Mus musculus: one gene and its partners. The protein of the gene in region 1 purifies or fractionates together with the protein of each later gene. This does not show direct contact. Links are inferred from orthologs where the notes say so. Each region holds a gene or a part of one and is shown on either strand. Other genes may lie near its edges. The genes, in order: Srprb, Stx18, Tmem259, Srpr and Rnf185.

What was found.
Region 2: the proteins of Srprb (region 1) and Stx18 purify together in Homo sapiens (affinity purification with mass spectrometry; 3 studies listed by BioGRID and IntAct, counting the BioPlex papers as one, with this or other methods). This does not show direct contact. The link is inferred for Mus musculus from reciprocal best matches to the Homo sapiens genes SRPRB and STX18.
Region 3: the proteins of Srprb (region 1) and Tmem259 purify together in Homo sapiens (affinity purification with mass spectrometry; 3 studies listed by BioGRID and IntAct, counting the BioPlex papers as one, with this or other methods). This does not show direct contact. The link is inferred for Mus musculus from reciprocal best matches to the Homo sapiens genes SRPRB and TMEM259.
Region 4: the proteins of Srprb (region 1) and Srpr purify together in Homo sapiens (affinity purification with mass spectrometry; 6 studies listed by BioGRID and IntAct, counting the BioPlex papers as one, with this or other methods). This does not show direct contact. The link is inferred for Mus musculus from reciprocal best matches to the Homo sapiens genes SRPRB and SRPRA.
Region 5: the proteins of Srprb (region 1) and Rnf185 purify together in Homo sapiens (affinity purification with mass spectrometry; 3 studies listed by BioGRID and IntAct, with this or other methods). This does not show direct contact. The link is inferred for Mus musculus from reciprocal best matches to the Homo sapiens genes SRPRB and RNF185.

What each region holds. Positions count from the first base shown.
Region 1 is NC_000075.6:103,198,628-103,204,645, forward strand, and holds the start of Srprb (signal recognition particle receptor subunit beta), read right to left. Parts: upstream 3,439-6,018; 5' UTR 3,433-3,438; coding exon 3,285-3,432; intron 2,755-3,284; coding exon 2,660-2,754; intron 240-2,659; coding exon 162-239; intron 1-161. UniProt on the Homo sapiens protein: Component of the signal recognition particle (SRP) complex receptor (SR). Ensures, in conjunction with the SRP complex, the correct targeting of the nascent secretory proteins to the endoplasmic reticulum membrane system.
Region 2 is NC_000071.6:38,104,486-38,110,005, reverse strand, and holds part of Stx18 (syntaxin-18), read right to left. Parts: intron 5,129-5,520; coding exon 5,013-5,128; intron 3,443-5,012; coding exon 3,365-3,442; intron 3,181-3,364; coding exon 3,114-3,180; intron 1-3,113. UniProt on the Homo sapiens protein: Syntaxin that may be involved in targeting and fusion of Golgi-derived retrograde transport vesicles with the ER.
Region 3 is NC_000076.6:79,980,332-79,986,382, forward strand, and holds the start of Tmem259 (membralin), read right to left. Parts: upstream 3,930-6,051; 5' UTR 3,801-3,929; coding exon 3,579-3,800; intron 1-3,578. UniProt on the Homo sapiens protein: May have a role in the ERAD pathway required for clearance of misfolded proteins in the endoplasmic reticulum (ER). Promotes survival of motor neurons, probably by protecting against ER stress.
Region 4 is NC_000075.6:35,212,822-35,218,142, reverse strand, and holds the end of Srpr (signal recognition particle receptor subunit alpha), read right to left. Parts: coding exon 5,263-5,321; intron 5,014-5,262; coding exon 4,857-5,013; intron 4,761-4,856; coding exon 4,607-4,760; intron 4,397-4,606; coding exon 4,308-4,396; intron 4,207-4,307; coding exon 4,088-4,206; intron 3,957-4,087; coding exon 3,870-3,956; intron 3,584-3,869; coding exon 3,411-3,583; intron 3,326-3,410; coding exon 3,112-3,325; intron 2,677-3,111; coding exon 2,513-2,676; intron 2,429-2,512; coding exon 2,330-2,428; intron 2,206-2,329; coding exon 2,077-2,205; 3' UTR 1,140-2,076; downstream 1-1,139. Other genes in the region: protein FAM118B, read left to right, coding at 155-214, 396-409. UniProt on the Homo sapiens protein: Component of the signal recognition particle (SRP) complex receptor (SR). Ensures, in conjunction with the SRP complex, the correct targeting of the nascent secretory proteins to the endoplasmic reticulum membrane system.
Region 5 is NC_000077.6:3,449,558-3,455,578, forward strand, and holds the start of Rnf185 (E3 ubiquitin-protein ligase RNF185), read right to left. Parts: upstream 3,400-6,021; 5' UTR 2,652-3,399; intron 1-2,651. UniProt on the Homo sapiens protein: E3 ubiquitin-protein ligase that regulates selective mitochondrial autophagy by mediating 'Lys-63'-linked polyubiquitination of BNIP1.

The DNA of each region.
Region 1 (6,018 bases):
CAGGACCCTGCCCTGAATTCCCTTAACAATGAACTACATCCCGGGAGTGTAAACAGATTAAATCCTTTCCTCCCCAAGTTGCTTTGGGTCAGCAACACACATGACAGTAGAACTTAGTAAAGAAGAGTGTCAGATTCTAGAACATTCCAGATACCTCTTACCCTGTTATTGTTGACTTTGTATATGGCAGAACTATCGGTAATGGAAGTCTGTGTGTCTCTGTACTGGCCAGTTAGCAACTGTAAACAAAACAAAACCAAGACAGACAAATCAGGGTAAGCGAGTTACAATAACACTGAATGCAATGTAAAAAATGACATTTTCATTCTGTGGAGAGTAAGGTCAAATGAACGAATGCTACTTGAAACAGCTGAAAACGATCATACTGCTTTATTTTTAACTTGTAGAATAGTGATTAATTACAGCCGGGCAGTGATGGCACACGCCTTTAATCCCAGCACTCGGGAAGCAGAGGCAGGCGGATTTTTGAGTTCGAGGCCAGCCTGGTCTACAGAGTGAGTTCCAGGACAGCCAGGGCTACACAGAGAAACCCTGTCTCGAAAAACCAAATAATAATAATAATTAATTACAAGCTTTATTCCTTCTTTTTGCAGTGCCATCAGAAAGTGGCACCCTGGGCCCAACATTATTAGTATTATTTTTAAACAACAGCAAGGGGCCAAATTACTGACCTGTAAAGATTTTAGGCACCAAAACCAACTCAAGGCCTCAGGAGATGTTCAGTGGACATAACACTTCCTGTGTAACCTTGATGACCTAAGTTCAGCCCCTCTGAACCCACATAAACCCAGATCTAGTAGTACACACATTCACAAGCCCAGTACTCCTATGGGGAAAATGGGAGGGAGACAGGACAATCTCCAGAAATTCATACTAGCTTGCCTGGCACAGCAATGAGAGAAGACCAACACTTCTGGTCCTCTGACCTCCACAGATGTGCCAAGGCTCACACGTACCAGCCCTTACACACATGAATGAACACACACACACAATTAAAATAATAATAGCTATTACTACTACTACTACTACTATTATTATTATTTATACCCTCCAAAGGAAGAGGGTAAATTCTCCATAGTAAAACATGTTCAGTTAAAATACACTGGCTTACATAAAACTAAGTGTTAGTAAAGGGAGGCCTCTCTAGCTTAAGACTGTCGAAGGAGGGTAATTTTTGTCATGATTGTGATAATGCTGGATTGCTCAGAACTAGCCATGCTGGGACTATTTTAAGTCACAGAAATCAGCAAAAGTTATTGGGCTTCCTTTATCCTTTATTGATTGTTTAAAGAAAGAATAAGAACGCAAGCTACACTTAAGAATATATGTCTATCCAGGCAGTGGTGGCACAGGCCTTTAATCCCAGCACTTAGGAGGCAGAGGCAGGTGGATTTCTGAGTTCAAGACCAGCCTGGTCTACAGAGTGAGTTCCAGGACAGCCAGGGCTATACAGAGAAACCCTGTCTGGAAAAAAACAAAATCAAACAAACAAACAAAAAAATGTATGTCCATAACCATTATATTCTGAGTAGCCCAAGAAACTGGTAATGCATTTTTTAACAGGTGTATGTACACTGAAGGTTGGTTGATGTCGGGAGTCCTTAATCTTTCTCCACCTTATTTATTTACTGTTTTTGCTTTTTTTTTTTTTTTTTTTTCCCTGACATAGGGTTTCTCTGTGCAGCTCTGGCTGTCCTGGAACTCATTCTACAGACCAAGCTGGCCTCAAACTTGAAGAGATCCTCCTACTTCTGCCTCCCAAGTGTTGGCTTTAAAGGCATGGACCACCACCACACAGCCAGCCACCTTTTGTGAGGCTGTGGTCTCTCACTGAACCCGGGGAGAAAACCAACTAGCATGGGTGGTGGTGAGCCAAGGAATTCCAGGGATCCATACCTCCTAGGCCCTGGGATTGCTGACAAGAACTTCTGGACCTGGCTTTCACGTATGTGCCACCGATCCAAACTCAGACCCTCATTTTTTTGCCAGGCAAGAAAACAGACTGAGTCACCTCCCCATCCCCAGACCACGTATTCTAACAGCATCGTGTGTGTATGTGTGTGTGTGTGTGTGTGTGTGTGTGTTTTTACAGGTTTTCCTAGAGTCTTTTTTATATAACTCCCAGGGGGCTGGAGAGATAGCTCAGTGGTTAAGAGCACCGACTGCTCTTCCGAAGGTCCTGAGTTCAAATCCCAGCAACCACATGGTGGCTCACAACCATCTGTAATGAGATCTGACTCCCTCTTCTGGTGCATCTGAAGACAGCTACAGTGTACTTAGATATAATAATAAATAAATCTTAAAAAAAAAAAAAGAATTAACTCCCAGGGCTGGAGACTCAACTAAGTTGGATAAGATCCCATCCTGCTTCTAGCAAAGGGACCTGAATTCAATTCCCAGCACCCACATCAGGCAGCTTTGAAGACCGACTCTACAAAATCTGACACATCTGGCCTCTACAGGTACAGGCACTCATGTGCATATACCCACACACATACATATAATTAAAAAGAAAAAAAAATATTTTTAAAAACATGTCCTAAACTTGCTGTACCAAATAAACTGCAAGATGACAGGGCTACGGAAATGCCTTACCCATCCCTCTTAAGTCTAACCGAGGTGAAAATCAAAGCATTACCCTGACAAACAGCAACGTTTTCCCAGAGTCACAGAGACCAACGAAGAGAACAGCTCTCTGACTGCTCTTTCGGCTCCAGATGAACTTCCAGAACACTGCAGAGAAGAGAAAGGCAGCCTTCATTTTCTAAAGACATTATTAGTAGGCATTTACGACAAAAAAACAAAGCGTCCATCTGGACTACTTTCATTGTCACACGGATTAGAGTCAGTTTTGTTAGGAACTCACGGAGCGCCAGCCACTATCAACTGTAAACCTTTTCACGTCTATTTCCCTCATCCAAATGTGGAGACTAAAAGTATACACAGAATGATGGATCTGGGAAAAATTAGTGGCTTGCTACATTTGATTGGTGGATTTCTACTCTACCTTAGTACCCCAGTATCTCAGAGCCCAGTTCAGACACAAGTGGCTCAAAGTTGGAATGAACGATGGCGGCCGCAGCGCTCAAGCGCACAGGGCCGCCTCATGTAAGTCCTGTCCCAAGACCCAGGTCACTTCAGCGTCCCCTTTCCACACTGCTGGGTCTGGAAGACGAGTAGTAGAAGAGGGAACGCAGCCGTCCGCCTCCCTGGCCTGCGGCGCCGAGCCACCCTGCCCTCGCCGTGAATGCCGGCCGCCTCACCCAGCGTCAGCAGCACCGCCAGGAGAGCCACCGCCACGGAGAGCAGCGTCGGATCCCTCTGCTGCAGCTCCTGTCGTAAGGAGTCGAGGTAAGGCTGGAAGGCGCCACCGGCGCCATCGCCAACTCGCCGGGTGTTCGCCGAAGCCATGAAAGAGGTGTGTAGTCTTCCCGGGCCGCCAAAGTTACGTGGCTCTAGGCTCCACGCCGTGGTGGGGCGCGGGGCATCACGGGAGTTGTAGTCCCTTAGGGGTATCTCGGCTAAGTGCCTGATGGGAGTTGGAGTTTTTTGGTTTCTACAACCCAGTTAGCGAGTGTATTCATATCGGCATGCTTTGAGACATGTATAGCTTTGTGGAATTTTTTTTCTTTGCATTTTAATTTTTTATCTTTGGAGAATTTCATAAATGAATATGATGTCTTTTGGTCAAACCCACCCCTCTACTCCCATTTCATTTCGATTTTTGAAAGAATGATGACTTTTAGCAAAATTAACGGCTACAAAACTTCATTTGAGGGTGAGGATTTCTACTCGGCCGTTACATGGGATGAAATTTATGAGAGATTTTACCACAGTATGATGTGACCGAAGATGTGATGGAGTCACAGAGAATCCACAAAGACACATCAAGTCCTTTATGAGGTCAGAGAAAAGTAGCTAGAGATGGACCTGAATCTTGGAGGATGCATTAACCTATACCGGCAACTAAAGAAAACAGAAAAAGACGCACGGAAGAGAAGCTTGAGTAAAAGCCAATGACATGTGGGAAACTCGGGAATTCTGTGTCCTGCATTGACACGTCCAGCACGGAAAAAAATGACTGCATTTTAAAAAGCAATCAGGAAAATCAGTGCTCGGGAGGATGTGGAGGTGTCGACGATAGATTGATCATTCCCACCCAAAGGAAGCAGGCCTACTCAACCAGGTAGGCCATTTGAGAGGCCCAGAGTAGACAACATTTTTCAGTTTCTCAAGAGGACTTATTTATAAAAGATCTTCATGGGAACTCTTCTACTTAAGATTTCATCGGGTAATCGAAACATTTAAAAAAAAATGTGAGCTTCAATTTAAAAATATCTCTGCGAGTCAGAAGTGGCCAAGCCTCGAGGGCCATTTGCAGCCTCTGTCATTAAGTAGCTGTCATTATTTTAAAGTATTTAAGTACAGGTCTGCCTGGGAGATGACAGGAAAAGTCGATGTCACTTAAAGGCTAAACAAATTCATTAAAATGTCGCACTGCCACATAAAACCCCAACTCCTGCAGGTACCAGGAAGAGAGGAAATGAGACATTCCCTTCCTCTCTAGTGTGGCAGTGAGTGATTGGGTAGGAAATGAAACAAAGATGTTAAAGTTTGAGTTTGGAAGGTTCGCAATGTGATTTCGATTTCCATACATCCTCAAAAGGCAGAGGGCAGGTGAGAAGAAGCCCACTCGAGAGGGCCACTCCGTTGGCCTTACCATCGCCAGATACTGAGTCGCTGGCTACAGGCTATGTATAAGAATGATTAGATTGTCCATGGAAGCAAAAGTGGCAGAAAGGCAGCTGGAAAAGTTTGTAGGAATCAGACCTGGGAGTGGTTTTGTGTGCTATGCTGAAGAACTCAGAGTTTACTCATAGTATAACAATAAGCTGAAGGTGACATGGATAATTGGCAGATCTGTGGAGAACTGTGACTGGAGAGAGAAAAGACTGAGGCTGGGGGAATCAATGGGAGTCTCTTGTCGTATTTAGGCAAAAGATACTTGGAGTCTAACACAGGATAAAAGTGTGAAATCCGGGGCTAGAGAGATGGCTCAGTGGTTAAGAGCACTGGTTGCTCTTCCAGAGGTCCTGAGTTCAGTTCCCAGCAACCACATCAGGTGGCTCACAGCCATCTGTAATGGGATCTGATGCCCTCTTCTGGTGTGTCTGCAGACAGCTACAGTGTGCTCACATACATTAAATAAATAAATAAACAAACAAACACTGAAAGTGTGAAATACAGGGTAAAATTTCTGAGATATTTAGAAGTTAAAATATGTAGGTTGTAATGACTATAAAATATATAGTTGCTGTTGTTCTATTACTGTGAAAAGACACCATGACCAATACAGAAGAAAGCATTTAATTGGGAGCTTTTTTGTTTGTTTGTTTTTTTGAGACAGGGTTTCTCTGTGTAGCCCTGGCTGCCCTGGAACTCACTCCGTAGACCAGGCTGGCCTCGAACTCAGAAATCCACCTGCCTCTGCCTCCCGAGTGCTGGGATTAAAGGCATGCACCACCACCGCCTGGCAGAAGAAAGCATAGAAAGCATTTAATCGAGAGCTTCCTTATATTTCAGAGGCTGAGTTCATGAGTGTCGCAGTAGGGGATGTGGCAGCAGGCAGGCATGGCACTGACACAGTAGCTAAGAGCCTACATCCTGATTCAGAGGCAGAGAATAAGAAACTGGGCCTGGTGTGGGTGTTCAAAACTTCAAAGCTCACTCCAGTGACACACCTCCTCCAACAAGGCCACACCTCCTAATCCTTCCCAAACAGTTTCACCAACTGGGGACCAAGCGTTCAAATGTATGAAGCTATGGAGATGTTCTCATTCAAACCACAACACAGCCTAACCTACACAGTAAATTCCTTGGCTACATAGTGTGAGATTTTGTATCATCCTTTGTTTTGGTAAATCTCCATCCCAAATATACCCCGGCGATGAAAACACAACACAGTTAATATGAATACATGCTGTGCACCTAGGTTGG
Region 2 (5,520 bases), on another chromosome or scaffold:
GTCAGTACATGAAGAGGTGCATCACATGAGACCTGCTATCTTCTATAAAAGGTAAGAAAGGTAGCCTGATCTTCCTCCTCTGTACTGACAGCAGGCAACACATACAGAGGATGTGAGGGGCCTGTGTGGCTGCAGATCATGGCAGTGCTTTTTGGTGTGTGTTGGTCTGGACTGAGGAAGGGCCTGCTGCTCCCTGTACGAAGGCATCATCAGGGCACACAGCCCATGTAAACAGAAATCTGGAAAAAGAGCATCCCTCCAGTCCAACAATAGACTACACTGTCCAAGTAAGCTGTACTTGGGCCACCAACACGTCTTCTGAATACCTTAGAAAGTCATCTTCAGCAACTGTGGTGGTGAGACATGTTAATACCATAGCTTCATGCTAGAGTTATGAATTTAAGCAGGGTCTACGGAGTTATTCACTCTTGACCTTGTTTTGTAATGGGCTCAGTATTTGAAGAAGCTACAACCTTCAACAAATAGCTTCCATTCTTAGATCTCCCTTGAGACAGAGAATGCCCCTAAAAGTTTCTGCTCATACAAACACTGTCCCAGAAAAGTGAAGGGTTTGACTAAATGGCCTGGACCCTGCAAACCTCAGAGCCAGGTCAGCTGGAAAGCACAAACAGCACCTGACATTCACTGGACATATGAAAGGCACCTCTGCACCAGCAGACAAGGGTCTCAGCCTAGTCCTGATTCTCATGATACACAAGCTGTTTTTCTGGAGAGAACATGGTTCTGATAGCTCAGATGTTTCATGAGAGTGCATGCCACCAAAGCATGAGATGGCCATTTCAGCTTCAATCACCCAAAATACCAGAGATTTAAGGAGATCAAGAGGAAAAGAGGTGGATTTAAAACTCACTGGGGATGGATGACGGAGCCACTTGTGCCAATGCTACATCCAATATTGTTGCACATAGCTTTTACTCTGTAAAATCAATGAGCCAGGAGTGAGCAGCCATGCCCCTTTGGATGTCTCCTTCACTCAGGTACCAATGGCTGAGAATGGACTTTGTAGCAGGCTCTGATCAATGCATTGACAAAAAAGAGTGGTCTCCACCTCCAAAAAATTTATATTCTTGCAGGAAAAAAAGTGGGGAGGTGGGATTATCAAGGGTAGTTATCCCTCTCTAGCTAGAGGCAACATGGAACAGGTACCATTGTCAGCTCAGAATGACAAATGCCATCAGGGTAGATGAAAACAGGTACCTCTAATAACAGTGCTATCACTTACAGACAATATAGTCACTGTAGAGAAGTGCAGAGTGGTCTGCTGGGAATACTTCTGGCTTAATGAGCAAAGTACTTTCAGCAATGTGAAATAAGAGCCCTTTGGTATGATAGAAAGATCTCTACTCTGTGAGAACAAAAGCTACCACATAATATCATCTGCACTCTTAAGACATTACAGTGGGCAATCAAGCTGTACCTCGACAGGTATGTTTTCCTTCACCATACAAATGAGACTACAGAATATGAGCAGCTAGACTCCTTAATCAACTTCTTAACGACAGTCATTAGCAACCCAAACAGAACAGTAGTGAGAACCACCTCGTGACAATGGCGAACACTCTGCTCATTGGCCTCCTCAAAGGACTGGGATGGTGCCATGAGCTGAAACACAACGGTGGCTGAGCCCCGCTGCCGTGTGTGTGTGTGTGTGTGTGTGTGTGTGTGTGTGTGTGTGTGTATGTGTGTGTGTTGTACCTGACTGTAAACAACAAAATGGGAGCCTACTAAGAAGGGAGGCACAATACTCCTGGCAGCAGCTGGAACACTACAGGGGACAGGTGACATTTGAGTTGGGGCTAGAAGGATGACAGAATTGTGTTCACAGGAAGGAAAAGCAAAGCCCCTTTAGAACAAAGTCGCACAAGGCTTGCAGAGCAGAGGAGCTGGGGGCTGATTCAGAAACAAAAGCTATGATAGAAACACTATAGCCTTCAATCTGCCATATTTCACCTTTATGAGACCTGGGCACAAGGGGGCATAAAATTACAACTACATGTATGTTTTAAGCAGATGTCTTGTGTCTAAAGATGAGAAAAGAACAAGAAAGAAGTCAGAGTGGTGAGAAATGCCAGTACCCACATCTGGGAGGCTGAGGTGGTATGACCTGAGTTCAGGGCCTACCTGAGAAGTACAGAGACTGCCTCAAAAAGCTAAAGAGCAGAGGGCTGCTCCCCCAAGGTCTTCTGCTTAGGGTAATGCTGTACATTTCTCATCTGACTGACATCAGTGTGGACTTCAGAGGAAACTTCTCCTTAAAAGCAAGACTAAGGCCGAATGAGCCTCAGCCTCCTTTTGTCTCTACCTGCAACAGCTCGGCAGACATGCCTCTCCTCCCTGGGGACTGTGACAGCCAGTGACTGGTCACCTTACCATACTGACAGATGACAGACATACATCACCAGAGTCAGGCCTGCTCCCCTGGGTCCTGCCTTGGCAAACTGGCCGCCAACCATGCCAAAAAGGGTTTTGGAGTAGAGGGAGGGGTGGGTTCAATACACACAGAATCCTGAATACATTCTGTCATACTGTCATACAGGGGAGCACTGGTCACTGTGAAAACCCTTTTTTTGGAAAAACTTTCAAAGATGGAGTTATGGGGGCAGAGACCAAGGTCAAACAGCGCCAAGTGTCCCACTTCATAGGGATATTAAGGAACAGGGTGGGAAGCTGGGTAGATGGCACACACCTGTAACCCCTGCACTCTGAATGTGGAAGCACAGAAACAATGGGTTCAATGGCAGTTTAAAGCCAGTGTGGACTATAGAACCAGATTGTCTCCTTACTACTCCCAACAAAAAAAGAAAGAGGAATTGGTGAAGGCTCAATACCGGTTCAGCTGCCATGAGACTATGGGGCTTGCTAACCCGCTGAACCTCAGCATCCTCAGAAAATGAAAGAGAGGACCTGCTCATGGGCTGCTGTGGGCTAACAGAGTTGACTAGCACCACCTAGTAGACAGTGTATGCTCAGCTCACTCGTGCTCCTCAGTGTATGGCAGCACGGGTGAGAACGGCACAGAGCAGCCAATAGGGCTGGAGCTTTACGAGCTCTGGTTGCCATTGCTGAGGAAGAGCAAAGGCAGCAATACTCACAGTCTTTTCTTGTCCACCACGCGCTTCACTCGGATGGCTCTTTGTTCAGAGTAAAGCTTACACACTCCTGTCGAAGCAGAAAAAAAAAAAAAAAAAAAAAAAAAGAAGAACAGAGACCATTTAAAATGGCTTCGTAGGCAAAGGTATCATTAAAACTAATGAGACACTATGGTCTTCAGCTAGCAAAGCTCCATTCTAAATTGCATCTCTTATGAAATACCACATTTGACCTTTAGAAGAAAATGAAATACTTTTTAAGTAATCGTCAACGAAATCCAAAACGGCAGTCCTGTGTTCCTTCACTTGCTGGGAATGTATCTCCTTGTGGGCTGTAAGAGAAAAGGACAGCACTCAGGTCTGTGCTCAAGGACCCGACAGAACAGTCAGCTTCCCCAGAGCGCTTCAGTGAAAGCATGTTCAAAAGCACAGCTATAAAACAGCCTCATGTCAAGTGAGACTACATTTTTAAGAGTAAGATTTATTGGGTTCACCAGGTGAGAGATTAAACCCATAGAAACTGCAGTCAAATAATTTATAGCTTATTACAGCCCCGGGGGAGCAGAGCTGATCCAGCGCCTTCCGGAATGCTGACCTGGCTGTATTAACAGCATCCAATGCCCAGGCTCACCTTCAAGTGACATGCTTAAATCACACGTGCTAGAAACCCAGACGCCTTCCGCCTGAGTTGCTTTTCAGCTTACAGTGGCTGCTTTCTCCCCGTAGACACTGAGTGGCACTATCCATACTATGCTGCTCTCTGAGAACCTTTCCCATTGATGAGCTACAAGGACGCGCTACCACCCAGAAGGCTGTGGCAGCTCCTATAGTAAGATACCGCTGTTGGTGGAGGGGCTGGGTGCCCCGGGTGCGGGCATGATGATAGGACATCACAGAGCTACCTCAGGTGACCACTGGGGTTCAGAGGCAGTATGTAGTCTAAAGTCACATAAATGCCTAACTAATGTCCTTAAGAGTATGGGGTACAGGTTATGTTTTTACCAGAGGACTATAACCTGGGACTACTCACATAATGATCTAGGGGCTTTGCAATGCTGGACACAGAAAACTGAATTTTGTATGTTGCATATTTTTCTGACAAGCAGACTTCCCTGGTGGCTGATAGTGTTCTTTCAGAAGTTTCTCCAGCAGAAGTCTCTGCCATGGGCCCAACAGCACCTGTCAACTTTGACCTCTGTAGTATTAATGTATATGCTTATGAATCAAGGAAGACATAAGACTGGAAACCCATCTAGCTCCTCAACAAGGATGAAACCCAATGAAGGGGGGTGGGGTGGGAATAATACCAGGTTCCTAGTGTCAGGCACAGTTCTAAGCACACTGTAAGAATTTGAGTGAACCTTAAGAGATATGCCTAATTATCATCTGTACTGTTTTGTTGTAAAAGTTGAGCCCAGGGAGATGAAATGATTTGCCCGAGGTCACAGAGCTAGCATGTGGCAGAGCTCCAGTGCATAGCTTTTAAGTAATAGCTGCGGAGCCTTCTCTTAACCGTGATGTCTTGTATGGAAGCTGACTTTAACAGGACAGGTAGATCTCAGGGAATACCGTTCCACCCTTAGCCACATGCATCCATCCTGCCACTCAGAACATAGCCATACATGCATGTCTTCATAGACACAATCTGGTCCCTCTGACCTTGGGCTTTGGTAGGTTATGGATTCTATTTAGAAAAGTCCTTCCCATTCCTGCCTTCCATTTTTTAAAACTTGAGTGATGATCTTTTTTGGGCTTTGATCACCTTATCTCAGAAGGATTATAAAATTTTAAGTCTTAAATGTCATTCGGAAAGAAAGAAGGAATGCTACGTGGCTGCACAATGAGTTGTTGAACTGGTTGGCACAGTCATGGGATCTGTTGGCATCTTTTAGAGCACTTCACCTTCTGTTCTGAGTTGATGGATTGCTTCTGAACAGGTCCTTATGAATATCTGAGCATCCTGGTCTATCTGGTCTCGCTCTGTGTCTGTCATCCTCCCATAGTCAGACATGGTGTGGCTAAAAAAGAGGAAGAAAGCATGAGAGTGGTGTCAGTGAGAACATACTGCAGCCTGGGTAACTGTCAAGAAGAAAGGTTTCCCTGAACAAGTGACATTAATGCTAAGGCTTGGAGAGGAGTGGCCAGACCAACAGGTGTGAGAATGGTTTGGAGAGTGGAGCAGAAGGCCATGAGGTACAGTCTTCGACATCACTTCCACAGAAGCAGGAGCAGTGCACAGCTTTGCTAGGAACAGAGGCTCTGACTGAGGAGTACATCACTCCATTGCAGGGCAAGCCACTCACCCTACATGATCTTGAAACATGAGAAACTTGTGTGCGCTGTTTTTTGTTTGTTTGTTTGTTTGTTTTTAACACAGGAAAGCAGTTTTCAAACTTCACAATAAAAAGCC
Region 3 (6,051 bases), on another chromosome or scaffold:
AGGAAGCCTGAGAAGCTGAGGTCAATCCTCAGGCCATACATGTAAGGTGCAGGAGCAATCTGACAGCTGCAAACTGTTCTGACTTCTACACACATGTGGGATACATGCCCCACACATATATGAATACACACATAACAAAATAAGTATGTTTGTTTGTTTTCAAGACAGTGTCTGTGTAGACAAGTCTGGCCTTGAACTTGTTCTGTAGACCAGGCTGGCTTTGAACTCAGAGATTCCCCCTCCCTCTGACTCTGGAATTGAAGGCATGCATCAACTATTAATATTACTTATTAATCTCAAACGCCCCTATGCTGGAGCAGAGTTACTCAAGGGGTCCCAGCCTCTGGGAACACCCTTCTCTTTTCCTGCTCAGTGTGTGGGTGGCTATGTGTCTGTGTGTAGGGGGGTCGCCTAATTCAGTGGTACCTGTGGGTCGCAACCCCTTCAGGGGTTGCCTAAGACCACTGGAAAACACAGATGTTTACATTACAATTAATAATAGCAAAATTAGTTATGAAGTAGGAATAGAAACTATGGTTGGGGGTCACCATGACATGAAGAACTGTATTAATGGGTTGCAGTATCAGGAAGGGTGAGAACCGCTCGCTGCCCTAACCCATGCTGAGTGGAAGCAGGGATGTCGTGCAACACTTGCAGACAGCACATGCGCACCATGAGCACTGGGCTGAAAGAGACCCAGTACTCCATGTAGCTGTCTAGGGTCACCCTCCTCTGTGGCCCCAACTGACACCCTAGCTTCCCACCATGTCTCTGCTGGCCAGCATAGGACCCTGGCCCAATAAGGTGCCCAACATAGAGTAGGGTGATGGGACTCATGAGGTCCTTACATCCCGGCACACCCACTGTGTGCACTCACATCCCTGCACCCTTCAGGGACGAGACTGGATTCCCAGACCACAGTCCTAAGGGACTCAGCCACAGCAAGCACAGTAGGGCCCTCCCCACCTGCTGTTAGGCAGCAGTGTAAGGGACAGAAGCAGGCAAAAAGGCCCTGCTCCATATCCTGATGTGCCTGTAGCCAGGCCTCTCCTCTGCAATCTAGTGACAGAGCTGGACCCACAAAGCACTCAGCCCATCTAGCAGTGACCTGAGGGAATACAGAGCATGTGTGGAAGGCCCAGGGACTGAGACCAAGGCTACAGTCTCCAGCGAGCCACACCTGAAGCTGCACCCACCCTGTCAACTGTGAGGTTCACCCTGGGCAAGAAATCATTTCTGTATCAGGTGAACTGAAGGCCAAGCAGCCCAGGCTGAGACCGCAGCAGTCACTCCTCCCAGTCCAATCCAAGAGCCAGGAACTGTATCCCAGGTCCTGTTCCACCTACTGGGCATCTAGAGTCAACATAAGATAGCCACTGGACAGGGGTTATAGCCTGGGTCCTCTCTTCCCACCATGGCCACTGTGGCCAGCCCACGAGTCCTCACTGGTCACTGACTCGTGCCAGTCACCCCACTCAGGCCCTTGGGCACTCCTCCCTCATGTGCCCACTTGATGCCACATACACAGGCACTGAACTTGGTTATACCGGCCTGGTGGGGCTGCACACCATCACCTCCTACAGACACCTCAATGCCAAGACCTAGGGTTCTTGGGAAACCTCCTACCCTGTAAGCGGGGGTGGGATGGAGTATTGCATTGTCACCCCAGTCTTGTGTCTGGGCTGTCAGTTCATCTGACCAATGGGAAGCCTGCACTGGGGTCAGAATACCAGCCTCACTCATATGCTTGCTTCTCTCTTGTCCTCTTGGGCTCTTCCTTTCCCCCTCTCTCCCCATGCTCACGGCTGTGGCCGGCCTCGACTTCTCTACTCTCTATCTCTACTACACTCTTTTTTTTTTTTTTTTTTTTTTTTTTTTTGAGACAGGGTTTCTCTGTGTAGCCCTGGCTGTCCTGGAACTCACTTTGTAGACCAGGCTGTCCTCGAACTCAGAAATCCGCCTGCCTCTGCCTCCCGAGTGCTGGGATTAAAGGCGTGCGCCACCACCGCCTGGCTCTCTATTACACTCTTAACTCCCTTCCCTGAGCCATGAATAAACTCTATTCTACACTATAAAGACAAAACCAAATACCAGCCTCAGCCAGGATCTCCACGAGATCATGACCCACCCAAGGGTGCCACTTAGCACCTTTCAGGGCTCAAATCCACTTGGTGCAGGGACTTGAGCTGGTGCCACATACCTCCTTGCCCTCTGACCCCTGCCACATCCTAAGGTCTAAGGCACCATGCTGTGCCCCCCTATCCCATGGCTGCCCAGTTTCGGTCCTTGAGGCTCTGAAGCCAGCAGAGGAGATACCAAGCCCAACAGTTCTTCTCTGGGCCTCTGTAGGAGCTGACACCTAGGCTGGGGTGGGAACAGGGCGCAGGGTGGTACAAGCCTAGCAGGCCTTGGCTGTGAGGCGTCCCTTCTAGGAAGGTTGGGTGGAAGCTGGGCAGGCAGGACGGGCAGGAAACACAGCAAATGGGCTCCCAGAAACGTCAGCAGCTCCAGAAACCAGCTGCTGTGTGGCTTGTTTATCCCAGTTAAGAAAGAGGATAAGGTCTACTGTCATCCAGCCGACCCTGTCTCTGACTAGACATTGGGCACCCACCCGGAGCCCTGAGGGTGTGGAGGGCAGGAAGGAAGATGGAGCATGGGCTCATCTGCAGCCAATGAACTGGGGCCTGAGGGGATGCCCACAGCTGTCTTGAGCTCAAGCTAGATCTACCTATGAAACCCCCGAACGCTCAGTTCTGAGAAGCACCAGGAGTGAGTCCCAAACTCACCAATGCCCTCCAATATCAGCATGCCAGCCACCAAGCCATGACCCCAACACCAGAAGGCCCAGGCAGCTCCTCAGAGAGAGCCTGGTGCCATCCCTCGAGTAGCCTTTGTGACCGAGAACCGGGATCTCCCGGGAGCACATGAAGAAGACACAGCCAGGGCAGGTGCTGGCTGTAGAGGTCCCTGGCCAATCTGGCTGTGACTCTGTGGCTGACCCTAGTGAGATGACCTCACCCAAAGCCACAGAAAACCTGGCAAGAGTCTGAAAACAGTGAAGTAACAGAAAATTTGAGCAGTGACACTGGGGGGTAGGGGGCTGTCCCCAGGGGGTTGGTTCAGGGTGTGCTGGAATGGGACTGACTAGTAGAGACTGGACTGAGAGAATCAGGGTAGAATAGAAATGACAGGCGGGACAGGGCCTCCAGCACAGGAGGTGGTCTACAGTGGAAAGTCAGGAATGGAATGGAAATGACCATATTGTTCTCAGTGGAGGTGCAGGACAGGATGGGAGTGACAGGTGGGAAGGTGGACCTCGAGTCCAAAATCCTACTCCAAGAGGACACTGGGCTCTGGTCTTGAGTGGAAAAATTTGGGGCCTAGGCTCCCAAGTGGCAGACTGAGGCCAAAGGGCAGGAGGCGGGGCCTGAGAGCTGAGGAAGTGAGGACCAGAGATAGCATCTGTAAGAGTGGTATCAGGGTATCCAGGCGTCAGGAGCCAAGTGGTAAAGTTGCCGGGGGTGGGCGAGCGGATGACAGCTGGGGTCAGGGGTCAGAGGTCAGGGGTCAGAGGTCACCTTGAGCAGAACGAAGAATTCAAAGAGGCGGCGGAAAGCAGGTGGGAAGAGGCGTGAGTAGGTGACGGCCATCTTGAAGAAGAGAGCGTGGAAGAGCCGGTCGCGCACGTTGATGAGCGGGTTGGGGTTGAGATTGGGGCCGCGAGGGCCGCGCACGGGCGCCGCGCCACCACCCCCGCCGCCGTTGGGCCCGGGCCCTGGGGCTGCCGCGTGCTCCGACATCACCGCCCCGCGTCACCCCGGCGGCCGCCGGCTGACCCCCGCCGCGTCCCGGCCGCCGGATCCCCCCCGCCGCCCCCGGCCGCCGCCGCCGCCTGCCCCTTTGCTCGCGTCCGTCCGGCCCGCGACGCCGGCGAGAGCGCCGGGCCAGAGCGCCGCCCGTGCGCGGGGCACGCTGGGATCGCCGCGGCCGCCCGAGGAGGCCGGGCTTCAGGGCCGAAAGGCGGGCACCACGAGTAGTGGGCGGAGCCTGACTTTACACATTTCATGCGGGTCGCCTCAGCGCTAAAGGGCAGAGTACCATGGAGTTCAGTTTATTTTCCTAGTGCTCCTTCAAGCTTTGTCCGGTCTCGTTTGCAGTGAGCTTGCAATTTGCAGGGGCTACACGGAGTGCATTAAAGAGCAGCCCCGTTTGTTTGCATATATTCACTCCCACATACTGTGGCACGGCCTGGGGTGGAGTCGTGTGTCACGATTCATTTGCATTGAGCTTTATCTTTATATATGTGAGTACACTGTCGCTGTCTTCAGTCTCACCAGAAGAGGGCATCAGATACACCAGAAAGGAGTTGTGAGCCACCATAACGGAGGCTGGAACTTCAACTCAAGATCTCTGGAAGAGGCGTCAGTGCTCTTAGCCATGTCTTTAGCCCAGAGCTCTATCTTAAGCATTGAGCGGCAGTGTCGGGTGTAATTCGTTTGGTTTGTGGAGGGATCCAGGTTAGCGGTGGGCGATCTGTGGGGCGTGGTCTCAGAAACAAGCTAAAACATTTGCATCCACCTGCGGGCGGGGCGACGTTGCCCGTCGTATTTGTATATGGTTTCCTATTGGCGGAGAATTAGAGGGGGCGGAGACGCACTTAGTAAGGCCTATTTACATAGGGCTTCACTCTGGCCACAGCCTCACTTAGGGGCGGGGTCTGCTGAGGACTCATTACCCACCCTGCCCTGGGAGGCAGGGCTTCCTAACTGCTCATTAGCATAATGTTTTCATTGGCGGCCGCAGCGCTGAAGGGCGAAATTCCATGGATAGTTTACTAGCAGACAGTTTCACCATCGCACCAGTATCACGGATTCCGCGCTGATCCGGCTACCACTGAGGGGCGGAGCCTCGTAGTGCCTGTCTAATTTGCATATGACTTCCCAGAAGGCTTCGCTGGCACAAGCTTCTCCCAGACAGCTATATTAATTAGTTAAATGTGAGCTTTCACGCGGATAGATAATTATTCTGAGCGGTGTTATGAGTGGTAGCCTTTCTTTTTGACATGTGAAAACGTTACTTTATCCAAACAAAAACAAAAAAAAATCATAATTACTGTATGTGAAAAGTAATTTGCTTCTCTGCCTTTAAATACCTGAGGCAAAAAACCGTCGCTTGTGCTCGCTTCGGCAGCACATATACTAAAATTGGAACGATACAGAGAAGATTAGCATGGCCCCTGCGCAAGGATGACACGCAAATTCGTGAAGCGTTCCATATTTTGTTTCATCTCAAAATAACGCAATTGACCCTTTGAAGTCTCCTTTTCTACTATAGCTGCCACATTCCCGTACAATTTGCCTGAACAAGGGCATTTATTGACCGGTTACTGCGCACTCGAAGGAAGCTGTCTGTTTTTAGGACGCAGCAGAGCTGTCTCTGTATGCACCGTGCCCTAACGTTGTGCGCCTTCTATATACCTCCAGCTTGAAGGAAGGACTAGGAGCATCTGTATGATGGAACAAGATGAGAATTTCTGCATCCGGACTGGGCGGCCAGGAAAAGGGCGGGGCGCTTTACCGGCTGAGCGAAGGGAACCCCTCCCTCCTAGCTTTCAGATACCCCAGAGTCACCGTCTGCTGTTACCCAGAGCACCTTGCAACACAGTAGGCACCTAATAAATGTACCAGTCTTGAAACTATTATGGAATACACTTGTCACTTGTTTGAAAATAGGAAACGTCCCTGGGTGACCCGAGCTTTAGAAAAACCTAGCCTGACCTTCGTGGAGAAGCAATGGGGTTCCCTCCAGCACAGGCCAACACGTCAGTCAGTCATATCGCTCACGACCAGAGCAAGCAAGGCTTGACTGAGAGATGGGATTTTACTTTATTTACTTTTTGAGTTTGTGGTCTTTCCTTGGCTGTTCTGGAACTTGCTCTGTAGAGCAGCCTGGCCTTATATTCACAGTGATCCTCTTGCCTCTCTCTGCCTCCGGAGTGGTGATCTCAAGGGCATGGTCACCACACCCACAGCAGAAGCACTACCACCCAGA
Region 4 (5,321 bases), about 68 Mb from region 1:
GTAAAGGCATTTGCTGCCAAGTTTGACGACCTGAATTCTATTTCTGCAATCCACATAGTGGAGAAAACAAACACTCAAAAGTTGTCCTGTGTAGTGACATTTTTTGAAAAAGTTTCAGCTTCATCTAATGTCTATACCAATATTCTCTTTTTAGCAGGGATGGCAAGAGAAGGTCAGCTAAATGGTTCATCTGCAGCACATGGTGAAATAAGAGGTATATTATTTCCTATTCTGTCAGTCATATTATAGGGAATTATAATTTGTCTCTCCTACCTGTCTTGAGATTCTTTGAATCTGCTCTTTCTGAAAAGTTAGGACTGAGTGATTTAAACACCTGCAGCTTCAGATATGTAGACTTGCTCTATGGAACTTTATTGTCTTTTGTTTCTCCATAGGCTGTAGTACTTGAGCAAGCTGGAGAAATCACCACTAGACCATGCTGTGGGGCCTTCCTGTGGATGTGTTAACAAGCAAACTTGCAAGAACTCAACAGAGCTCCCAGGAAGTACCAATACCCAGAAGTTGAAGCCTGGGGTAGAATAGGGGTGGCAGTGTTGCACCTTCCCTTCATGCTGGCTGTTTCTTGATACTCTGCTGCCTGGTCCAGTTTAACACCCAATGACATCAGGACCCAATGCAGCTCCTACCTACCCCAAGACTGGACAGGCTTATCTACACAGCAGACCAATGTGATGACTCCTGGCTATGGCTGCAGCTCTGCAGGACTTGAGGAGCAAGAAGTCATGGAGTCAGTGGGCTCTTGTTGCAGTTTTGTACTCCACTTGGTTTTTCAATTGAGCTTATGGCTTTTTTAAAACATGACTTGAAGCTCTAGTTTTCTAGATCTTTTACAGTGTACAGTATTTTACATAACTGAGCTGTATTAAAAGCTTGTTCATTTACTTGCCAGAACTCTGGCTCTACTTTGAAGAGTTACTGTTAAAAACTGGCATTCTTCTATTTTCATCATAGGGTGGTGATCCTTCTCAGGACAGGCACTTACCCAATTCCTTAGAGCACTACTAGTTCCTATCATGCCCTTGCCAAAAAGAAGCTCAAGAACTATATAGTTAGTATGAGTTAGCATTCTTATTTTATATCCTGTATAAAATAATATGAACCTAAGAGGCAATTTCTTTATGAAATTTATTTTCTTATATAAATTATGTATTTCTCTGGGCAGACAGCCTTCACCTTATTGCACTAGTAGCACATCTGTAATACCAAACTACAGGACAAGTCTTAACAAGAGGTTTGTGTTCTTCAACGTAGCACTTGTCTACCAGGCACTGTAGAAGAGAATGAGGAAAAGCCAGGACCTGCCCAGGAGGCTGAGGGTGGGGTGGGTACGGGACAACAGGAATCCTTCTCAACAATCCCTTTCTCCCAGGAAGGAAACATGCAAAGCTTCCATCTAGATTTTGGGAGCAGGCACAGGTTGGAAGGCAACTCTGCTCCCCGTGTTTCTGAGAGAAGTGGGCACTCGCCTTTCACTCATTTGTAACAAGGCCTAACTGATGCTTTGGGGCAACAATCGGGTGTAGAGTTCATCACCAGATTTATAATTAGCAGCAATTAAGAATGGGCCACCATCACTGCCACAGTGAGGTGGCTGTCATCCTGACACCAGGGACCCAGAAGCTGTATTCTTCTAGATAGATGCCATTAAGATCCAGAGCTGGCTCTGGAATTAAGCCATTAGAGCTGGGACCTCAAACTGCTCCTTATCTCACCATGGCTCTGTGATCACACTAGTTAGCAACACTCCAGGTGTTGGGTTTTTCAACCATTGGTCAAAGCTATGATATGGAGTCTGTAGGCAGAGTGAAGGGGATGCCTGAGTAGGAAGAGGGAGGGTCATTGGGCAGTGATTGTAACATGATTAGGCCCTCCTTGCAGAAGGAGGTAGGGCTGAACAAAGGATTGGGTTAGAAGGAGCTGCAAGTCTCCAAAGCTCCCCTCACTCTGCCTTTGTACTACACTGAAGACAAGTTGCTCACATACTCTAAAGCACATTCTTGATATAGGAATAGGGACTTGGGGCAAGCGGCGATTTGGTATTAGGCAAGAGCCACATTAAGCCTTCATGAGGGCAGCCACCACAGCCTTGGCATTAAGACTGCGTAGGTCACAGTAGGTCTGGCCAGTACCCACAAAGACGATGGGTTTGCTTGTGATGTATGTCATAGAGATAGCAGCTCCCACCTGAAGAAGAGAAAATGGATGGCCAATCAATCAACTCAAGCCCTGTTTTCACTCAACGCCTCCATTTCCTTTAAAGTCAGCCATTCCTCCTTCCCAGTCTCATTATCCAGTCATCCACTTTTACCTTGTCATCAATGGTGTCAAATTTGGTAAGAACAATGCCATCAATGAGCCGAGGTGTCTGAGCCATAGAATGGTCAGCCAAGGCTCTGTTGAACTTGACCTAGAAAGTGAAAAGGTAACATAAGAACCCATCTAATTTGCCAAAGTTTAAGTTCTAAAGGGAACTGGGCCCAAACCCTCTCACCAGTTGATCCACAGCTTCGTTGCCTACTAAGGCCTCCCCTACAAACAGCACCAAGTCAGGTGTATTGACAGTAATGAGTTTGGCCAGGGCAGTCATCAGAGGGGCATTGTCTTGCATGCGGCCAGCAGTGTCTACCAGCACCACATCAAAGCCTTGGTTACGTGCTAGAAAGAGAAAAGCAGTCAACTCCAAGCAAGTAACTCACTCACACTACCAACTTCTCAAGACTTCCTACACTGCTATGTGAAAAGTCACCCAACTGTCACCCATGCTCACTGCCAGCTTCCTAAGATGTCCAAGTGTGGGTTATTTGAAAAGCCTATCCTGTTTACTTGCCCAGACTCTGGATTTGGTTACAAGGTAACGTAAGGAAAAACCTGTCCTATTCTTGGCCACCACCAAAACCATTCAGGGAAAGGAAAGAAGTAGGAAAAAGACCACATTCAGGTTTACAGTTAGGATACACCAGCTTTCCTTTACACACATTACTACCCAAAACCACCCACACAAGTAATTTACCCTGACTTCTCTAGTAATAGCCTTAGTCTGTGCAAATTCCCAGGACAAGGACACAAGCCCCCTTGGTCCCCACACTGTACCAAAGGCAATGGCTTCCATGGCAATGCCAGCAGCGTCCTTGCCATAGCCTTTTTCAAACAACTGCACCATCGTACGGCCACCATGCTTCTCGGGGGGATGGAGGGCAGTCAGGCGCCGGGTGTGTGTACGAAGCTGCTCAACAGCCCCAGCCCGAAATGTATCACAGGCAGCAATGAGGACACTAAAGCCATTCTCTAAAAGCCAAAAGGAAATCTGCAAAAAAGTTAAAGAAAACTGTCACCTAGACCCAGGATTCGAAAGCACAGGGTGGAAAAGCAGGCTGTGGAACTGAGCTGACCTTGGCAAGATTGGTAGACTTCCCTACTCCATTAACACCACAGAAGGTAACAACATAAGGGCGCTGGCGACGTTGGGCATCCATGATATCCCGGAGCATGTCTACACGACGCTGTGGCTGTAGGATCTGTACTAGAGATTCCTGGAGAGCTTGCTTGACTGTTGAAGTCACAGCTTAAAAGGGGGATGGATGGATTCAATCATAAAGTCAAATATACTTGATACCCAACATCTTTCTGAACTAATGGAGTTAAGACCATAGTAGGTTTTCCCTCAGAATTCAGATCACACTGTTCTATTACTTTATTATCTCAATTAACTGTCCTGTTAGGTCCTAAAGGCTGTTCTATCATAGAAGTTTGGGAACTCAAACATGTGTGCCAAAAGGCACATACCAAAGCTGTCTGACTGCATCACCTCTGAGACGCACGAGCACTTTGTGACTTGTGGAGATACTTACTGCTAAATGTCCCCATCACTTTCCCTTCTAATTTGTTGGCAACAGATTCACAGAGCTGGACAGCAATGTCAGCAGCCACATTCTTAGCTGAGAAGAGAAGGACAGCTGTGAGTTCCGAGCTAACAATGATCGGGTCTCAAGAGCACAGCTTAGAAAATGGTTCTATTCCTAATGAACTATGTCATAGTCCGTCAGTCAAGCCAGTCCTCCAGACTCACCAATGAGATGATCACGCATCTTGTCTAGCACAGATTCCATGTCTTCTCGACTCAAGCTCTTGGAACCCACCAGACCCTTCAGCATCCCAAACATGCCACCCAGAGTTCCCTTGGTAGCACTACAATTACAGAAGATCACAAGTATGCGTTAGGCCAGCAGGCAGGAGGTATGGGTCATCAATTCTGCATCCACACCACCTCCCACCTGAAATCCTTCTACCTAGGCTTGGTATTTTGAGTGGCCCCTTCATCATCTGAGCTGCTGCAATCCAGATCTTGAAGCTGTCCCCCAGGCCCAGTTCCTCGAATCTAGAGAACACAGGCAAAGAAAAGAGGTGTGATCAAGAACACTAACAGCTGAGGGGAAGAGCCCAGGATATACCCTGGCAACATTATTTGAGACCTTAGAAAAACCCACATATAGTTCATTCCTCTCTCAAATCCAGATATACCCTCCAGATGTTTCCTTCCCAATTTCTGGCCAATGGTGATCTTCACTCTGACCTTTATGCATCTTACCAAGTTGATATCTTCAGAAAGGGCTGCCTCTGGAGTTCCATTGGTGGTGGGAGTACTGTAATCCAAGACTTCCTTGTTAGCACAGCCACCTAGTTCCCACACCCGGGGTGCTTTTTTGCCCTTCTCCTTTGGAGTATCTGACTTTGTAGATTTACTGCAAAGGATGACATAGGAAGGAACATGAGAGGAGAGTCCCCTGGCCCCAGCACAGCTGGGTAACAGTCACCAGAGACAGGGTAACAGTGCTGACCTGGATTTGTCCAGACCCTTGCCATGCTTCTGAATGAACTCCTCTCTCTTCCTACGGATCAGCTCCTCTTTGGAAAGTTCTCCATTCTCAGGTCCCGCTGAGAGACCTGACTTTTCTGCAGGGGCTGTTTTGCTAGTAGCCAAAGTGCCATCAGAACCTGTTAAAAGAAACCTCACTGGAGGAAAAGAAACATAAATCCCAACCACCCAGGTAATAACTACAGTTCTTCCAAATCCTAAAGAGCAACTTGGACCAAACACCTTGGAGACTACAATGCCTCAAGGGAGTGATAGGGTGGTGAGCATTAAGTTAAAGGAGGCTAGCAATGTCAAAGAGTACCACAGAGTTTTATAATACTATGCTAACATCTTGTATGCCCTAGCAGGGTCAGGAAACTCAAACACACCTTCCTTTTTGGCCCCCCTTTTTTTGTTGTTTTTTGCTTTTTCCTTGGTCTTTTCCCCC
Region 5 (6,021 bases), on another chromosome or scaffold:
AAAAAAGAGGTTTTATACCAAATAAGTTTGGTAACACCAAGCAAGCAAAACATTATGCCAGCTTACTATAAAGCCTGAATTTTTATTGTGAGAACTCTAACTTGCATTACAACACTAAGAAAGGGTAATGGTGCCGGGCGTGGTGGCACACGCCTTTAATTCCAGCACTCGGGAGGCAGAGGCAGGTGATTTCTGAGTTCGAGGCCAGCCTGGTCTACAGAGTGAGTTCCAGGACAGTCAGGGCTACACAGAGAAACCCTGTCTTGGAAAACAACAACAACAACAAAAAGAAAGGGTAACGGCCAGTAGCTTTTCCTAAACTTATTTTTACCATCAAATTTATTTTTCACAGGCCAGCAGAACACATTTACATCAATCAAGTATCCCTTTAAAAGAAACCCCCAAATTAGTAAGTTTTTAAAAATCCAACAAATTAAGAGCATTTTCCTTACCACCGAGATGACAATAGAGTCTAAGGCCAAACCATCTCGAATGTTAGGTAACAACTGAATGACCATTTCACAACTGTTTTTTTTTTTTAATCTTGAGAAACATAAACAACAGGAAAACAGGCAGGAACTTTTGGTTCAACCCCAACCTTTTGTTTTGTGGAGGAAGTGTCAGCAGAATTGGGTCATAATATGGAATCTTTGCTTCTCCAGACAACATAAGCATTCTTAAGTACTCTAATGGGAGATGGAAAAGTTATCTACTTAGTGTCTGGTAAAGTGCAAAATAAGGAAATCTAAAGTTAGATTACAAAGCTATAGGTATGCAAGTCAGGACCATAAAAGAATTGGTCATATGTGCTGGGCATCCAGAAAGCTAGCTTAAAAACTGCAGACACTCTCACACCTATACACACACTGCTAGACAAAGAATTAAAGTTCAGTTTATAAACCAGAGAGAAGACTGACCCAAACAACTGAATTGGCCTTCCATTCTGTAATCAGAGCCCACTGGCAAGCAAAGCCTTGGGCAAAACAAGCAATCCCAGCATTTGGGAGGCTAAGGCAGGGGGACCAGTTTGAAGTCACCCTGGGCTACATAATAATACTCTGGAAAAGGAAGAGAGGGATGGAGGCAGAGAGGAAGAGAGCAGAGATAGACAGAGAAAAAGACAGAGAGACACAGATAAGACAGACAGAGACTGACTTTCTAAATTGTTCTCAGCCTGAGCTGAATGTCAGAGTGAGACCCCGACTTAAAATAAATTTTAAAAACTTAAATGTAAAACAAAAATTACTAACTGACCAATGTATTAATTTTAGTTAATTAATTTTTATTTCCTGTTTATTAATACAACATATACTTTGGATAATTTTTATCAGATAATGGATCATTCCAAAAAGGATGATGAAAAGAAGGATGACAAATGTGACAACCAGTAAAAGATTACATAAGATCAAGTGTGCTGGCCTTATTGATAGGAGATATAAACTAGGGAGGAGAGTCCAGAAGGGAAGACAAAGAAATGTCACATTCTGTAGGCATAATGGTACTAAGTAACGAGTGATCCTGGCACTCTTTAAGACTGAAACAGCAGGATCCGGGTTCAAGGCCAACTACAAAAGGAGCTTGAGGACAGCCTGAGATCCCTGAGACCCTGTCTCAGACCACAAAAGAAGTATCACATACACTCTGAAGACAGAGTTATCAGTGGAGAGGTAAGAGTCACAATAAATACTAATACGAGCCTTTTAAATTGGAAAGGGCCGCCTCCTGTATACTTCCTTTCCCAAGGAGACAGTCAATCCCCATCAGTCGTCACCTCTGATAATTCTTCCGTTAAATTCTTAATAGTAAGTACACATGTGTCTTCCCCCTAGAACCTACCTATTAATCGTAGCTGTACCTCTTTCAGCTACAAAGATCAAGCAGGAGGCCTCTTTGCCATAACTCCCCCACCCAACCCCCACCCCCACCCCGCGCCAGCTTTTAAAGATAGTTAGTTATTCTCCTCCGGCGTTCTTTCCTAAGCTAGAAGTTTCATAGAATCGAGCCGGCTCCAGCTGCCTCGAATCGAGTACCGCATTCACAGCGGGACCGCACTTCGGATGAGCAGGCTTCAAACACGAGTAGGACTCCAGAGGAGAACGTTCAAAATAAGGTTTCCTAGGATCCAGACCCAGATTCGAAACAAGCTGTGGGAAAAGCCCAGGGCTGGAGAGCCGGCATCCCGGAGGGTTTCGGAGCAGGTGCTGTGGAGGCCCACGCTTTTGAGACAGCTGTGCCCGGTTGTACAGCTGTGGGAACTAGGTTCAGGGAGGTCAAAGACTTGGCCTCGAACGCACAGTGAGCTGCAGGCAGCGAACTCAAGTCCAGGTCTCCTACGCTTCACCCCAAATCTGTTCACCGCATTCCTCATCTTTCCACTCCACCAAATCGCCACCCACGAGAGAGGCGGTCCCGCCCCCGAGGCTACGGGAGTCAGGACGAGCCCCGTCTGGAAGGGGAGCTTGTGCGCACCCTTCTTTCCCTTTTCTGGGGCCTTAGTTTGCCCAATCTGTACCCACGGATGCCAGTCTGACCTTCCTTCTGGGACCTGGACAGAGCCAGACTGGATGACTCCTGGCCCTTGGCTTCAGATCCCTGAGCCTGGGAAGGGGGTCCCATGCCTCCCGGGCCCGCCGTCCCAGCTCGTCACCTACCTGCCGCCGCGGTAGAGCGAGCGCCAGCGACGCCAGCTGTCCGTTCCCCCGTCCCGGAGTAGCCGAGCCAGTCTTAGAGACGCGTCAGTCAGAAAGATTGAACCTCCGACCCCTCCTACCGGGAACTTGGTCACCTGACGCGGAGCCGCCTCTAGTAGAACAACTTCCGGTTCCAGCCGGAAAAGGCTGGTGTGCAGCGCTGCTCTCCGGCCCAGGCGCCCGGCTGGTAAGTTCCGCCCCGGGACAGGAAGGGGAGGGCGTCTGGTCTTTCCGTAGGGTTTCCTAGCGCTGGAAGAGGAGGGAAGGCAGCTCGGTGGATGGGCGAGCTCGCCTCGCCCGCGTGAAGACGTGGGAATAAATATGTGCGTACCCGCCAGCTAATCATAGCATTCATTCGGGTGATGGGTCAGAACTTCAATGTCGTTTTCGAAGCAGGCTTGGGATACATGGGACCGTGTCGCAAAAATAATGGGCGGATGAAAAAGCCAGTTCTAGAAATACCAGTTTGGAATGCCTTGTACAAGAAAGTAAGGTCAGTGGTTGTTCTGTTTTATAAAGAAGAAGAACAGGAGGAGGAGGCATGGGAAGTGGAGTAGGAAAGGGAGTAGAGAATGAGGAGAAGGGAGAGAGGCCGGCCAGGAACGCGTGAAGAGAGAGGGCGGAGGGGGAAGGGGGCAAAGAGTAAGGGAGAGGAGGGGGCGAACAGCCCCTTTTATAGTAAGCCGGGCATACCTCGCTGTTGCCAGGTAACTGTGGGGCGGAGCCTAGAAGGAATGCTAACAGTGGTGATGGATGAGAATGTGCAAAACGACCCAGGAGCTCTCTTGAAGACTCTACTAGCCAAATCTGTGAAATTTCAGTATCAAAATAATAAAGGTAATAAGAGTATAACTAATTGGAGCCCATGAGATGGTTCAGAGGTAAAGATGTTTGCTGCCAAGCCTGTCAACTCTAGTTCAGTCCCCAGAAACCCAGCGGTGGAAGGAAAGGAGTCTGGCAAGTTGTCATCAGACCTTCACATGTATACAGAGACACTTAATAAATACATGGTAATTTATTTTAAAACTAATTAGATGAACTTGTAACCAATGAGGGATTGTTTTTTTTTTACAGTAGCAAGTGCATTTATTATATTTAAAAATAACTAGAAAAATTGGTGTTTTAGCTTTCCATATATAAAAACATGTGAGTCCAGTGCAACAGTGCTCAGTGCAGGTGAGTGATTTTGCTGTGCAGCTCCTACAAAGCTGCATAGCTGTGCTGTTGCAGGGGTGGGGGGAGTGGGGGGTGGAGAGCCGGCACACCTCATTCTGTAGAACAAGAAGGGACTTCCGTCCTGCCTCGGACAAGCAGTAGCAGTAGCATTCCTGTGTGTAAGCTGAGGTAGGGCTGGCACACCGGCCTTGTATCCTGTACTGGATGGCTTTCAGCTTCTGCTTGCCAGTGTGAAAGCCCAAACGCCAGATGGCAGGTGAGCCTGCATCCTCTCCCCAGAGTCCTTGACCTTATCAATCTCTAGCTCCACCTGTGGGGGACCTGAGGGATCGGTCAGAATACTCCTCCTCCTTCTGTTCCTGGAAAAAGTAAGATTCTTTGGGGGGTTCTTAGTATCATTAATACAAGAATTTAGAAGAGACTCAAAGGAAGCTCAGGACAACTTTATTAGAGTTTGAAAAAAGCAATCAAGGCTAGTTGAAAACTCTAACAGCTGCCAGAAGATGGAGAAAAGGTCACACCTTTTAAACTAGGCATGGAATAAAATTAGACAACTTATCAAGAAATGGAAAAGGACAGGTGGTATTGGCGGTGCACACCTTTGATCCCAGCACTTGGGAGGCAGAGGCAGGCAGATCTTTGTGAGTTCCAGGACAGCCTGATCTTCAAAGCAAGTTCAGGACAGCCAGGGCTACACAGAGAAACCCAGCTCAAAAAAACAAAAACAAAAAACAGAGAGTAGGAGGAAGGGAGGGAGAGAGAGGGAGAGAAGAGAGGAAGGAAGGGAGGGAGGTGAAAACGGGCTGGAGAGATGGTTCAGCTGTGAAGACGGGGAACCAGAGGACCCAGGTTTGATTCCAAGGAACCACACACATAGTGATTCACAACCTTACCTAACTCCAGTTTCATGGGATCTGATACCCTTTTCTGGCCTCCCTGGGTGCTGCATGAACATGTGAGTATATATGCTTCTAGACAAAACATTCATACATATAAAAAAACAAAACTACCCAAGAATGGAAGTGGGCTAGTAAGCTGAGCAAAGTCCCTAAAAAGTATCCACCATACTGGTGCATGGTCTCTTACAGCCCTTTCTCTACAAACTGACTTCCTGTCCATGTTAATCTTGATGTATCTTTTGTTGTTGCTATTGTTGTTATCTCCTGTTACATTGGATCCCAGTACAGTTTACCAGGCTGAGTCAGGACAAGACCTGAGTCCCTACCTTGTCCCTGGGGAGCTGTGCTAGCCAAAGGCAAAGCACAGTGGACTGGCTTGCTGGAGGTCCTGGGGACTCCTCAGTACCCTCTGGGGACTTCTGGCCATTCTAATCACCGAGGGACCAAAGGCAGTTAGAGTCCTGAAGCCCCTTCAGATGACTTGGGGTCGTGCTTACACTGCCAGCAGTTCCAGCTGCTAGGACCTATATCCTGATTTCCACCCGCTGACAACACAAGCTTCAGTATGTGAGTCTCTAAGTACTGTGGCCTGGCCCTCAAAAGTCCTGTCTCTGAGGGTGTAGCAAGGAGGAAGCCTTTTGCTCTGTTCTGGAATTTTTTTTTTTTTAATTTATTATATGTAAGTACACTGTAGCTGTTCTCAGATACTCCAGAAGAGGGAGTCAGGTTTCGTTACAGATGGTTGTGAGCCACCATGTGGTTGCTGGGATTTGAACTCGGGACCGTTGAGCTATCTGGCCCCTGTTCTGGAATCCTATTCTGAGCCTATTCCTGATCTGTGCTTTCTGAAATGACGTCATCACGCGAGCAGACAGCGCGGCTCCAGCTTCACATCTGTACAGTGGTTTATTTTCTCCAGCTGTCCATCCAGTCTGGAGGTCCCTTTCCCTGGAACGCGGGCTCACGAAGGCTGCTCAGTCTTCTCAGATGCATGTGGAAGTCTCTCATCCCAGATGCCACCCTAACATCACCACATAGCACCGCCGGCTTCTCCACCAAAAATCTTGTGTTTGAAGGTCACTTTTCCCTATGATGTCATAGTAACAGCCTGGAGAGAGGTGTCCCTCCGTGTATAGCTGACTCACTGGGCTTTCTCCCCTGTGCCTCCCTTATATGTTGCCATCCATCCAGATTCTTGGCACAGAATGTTAGGGACAAGCAGTCCTAAGTACTGCCATTTTGTTTTCAGATTCCAT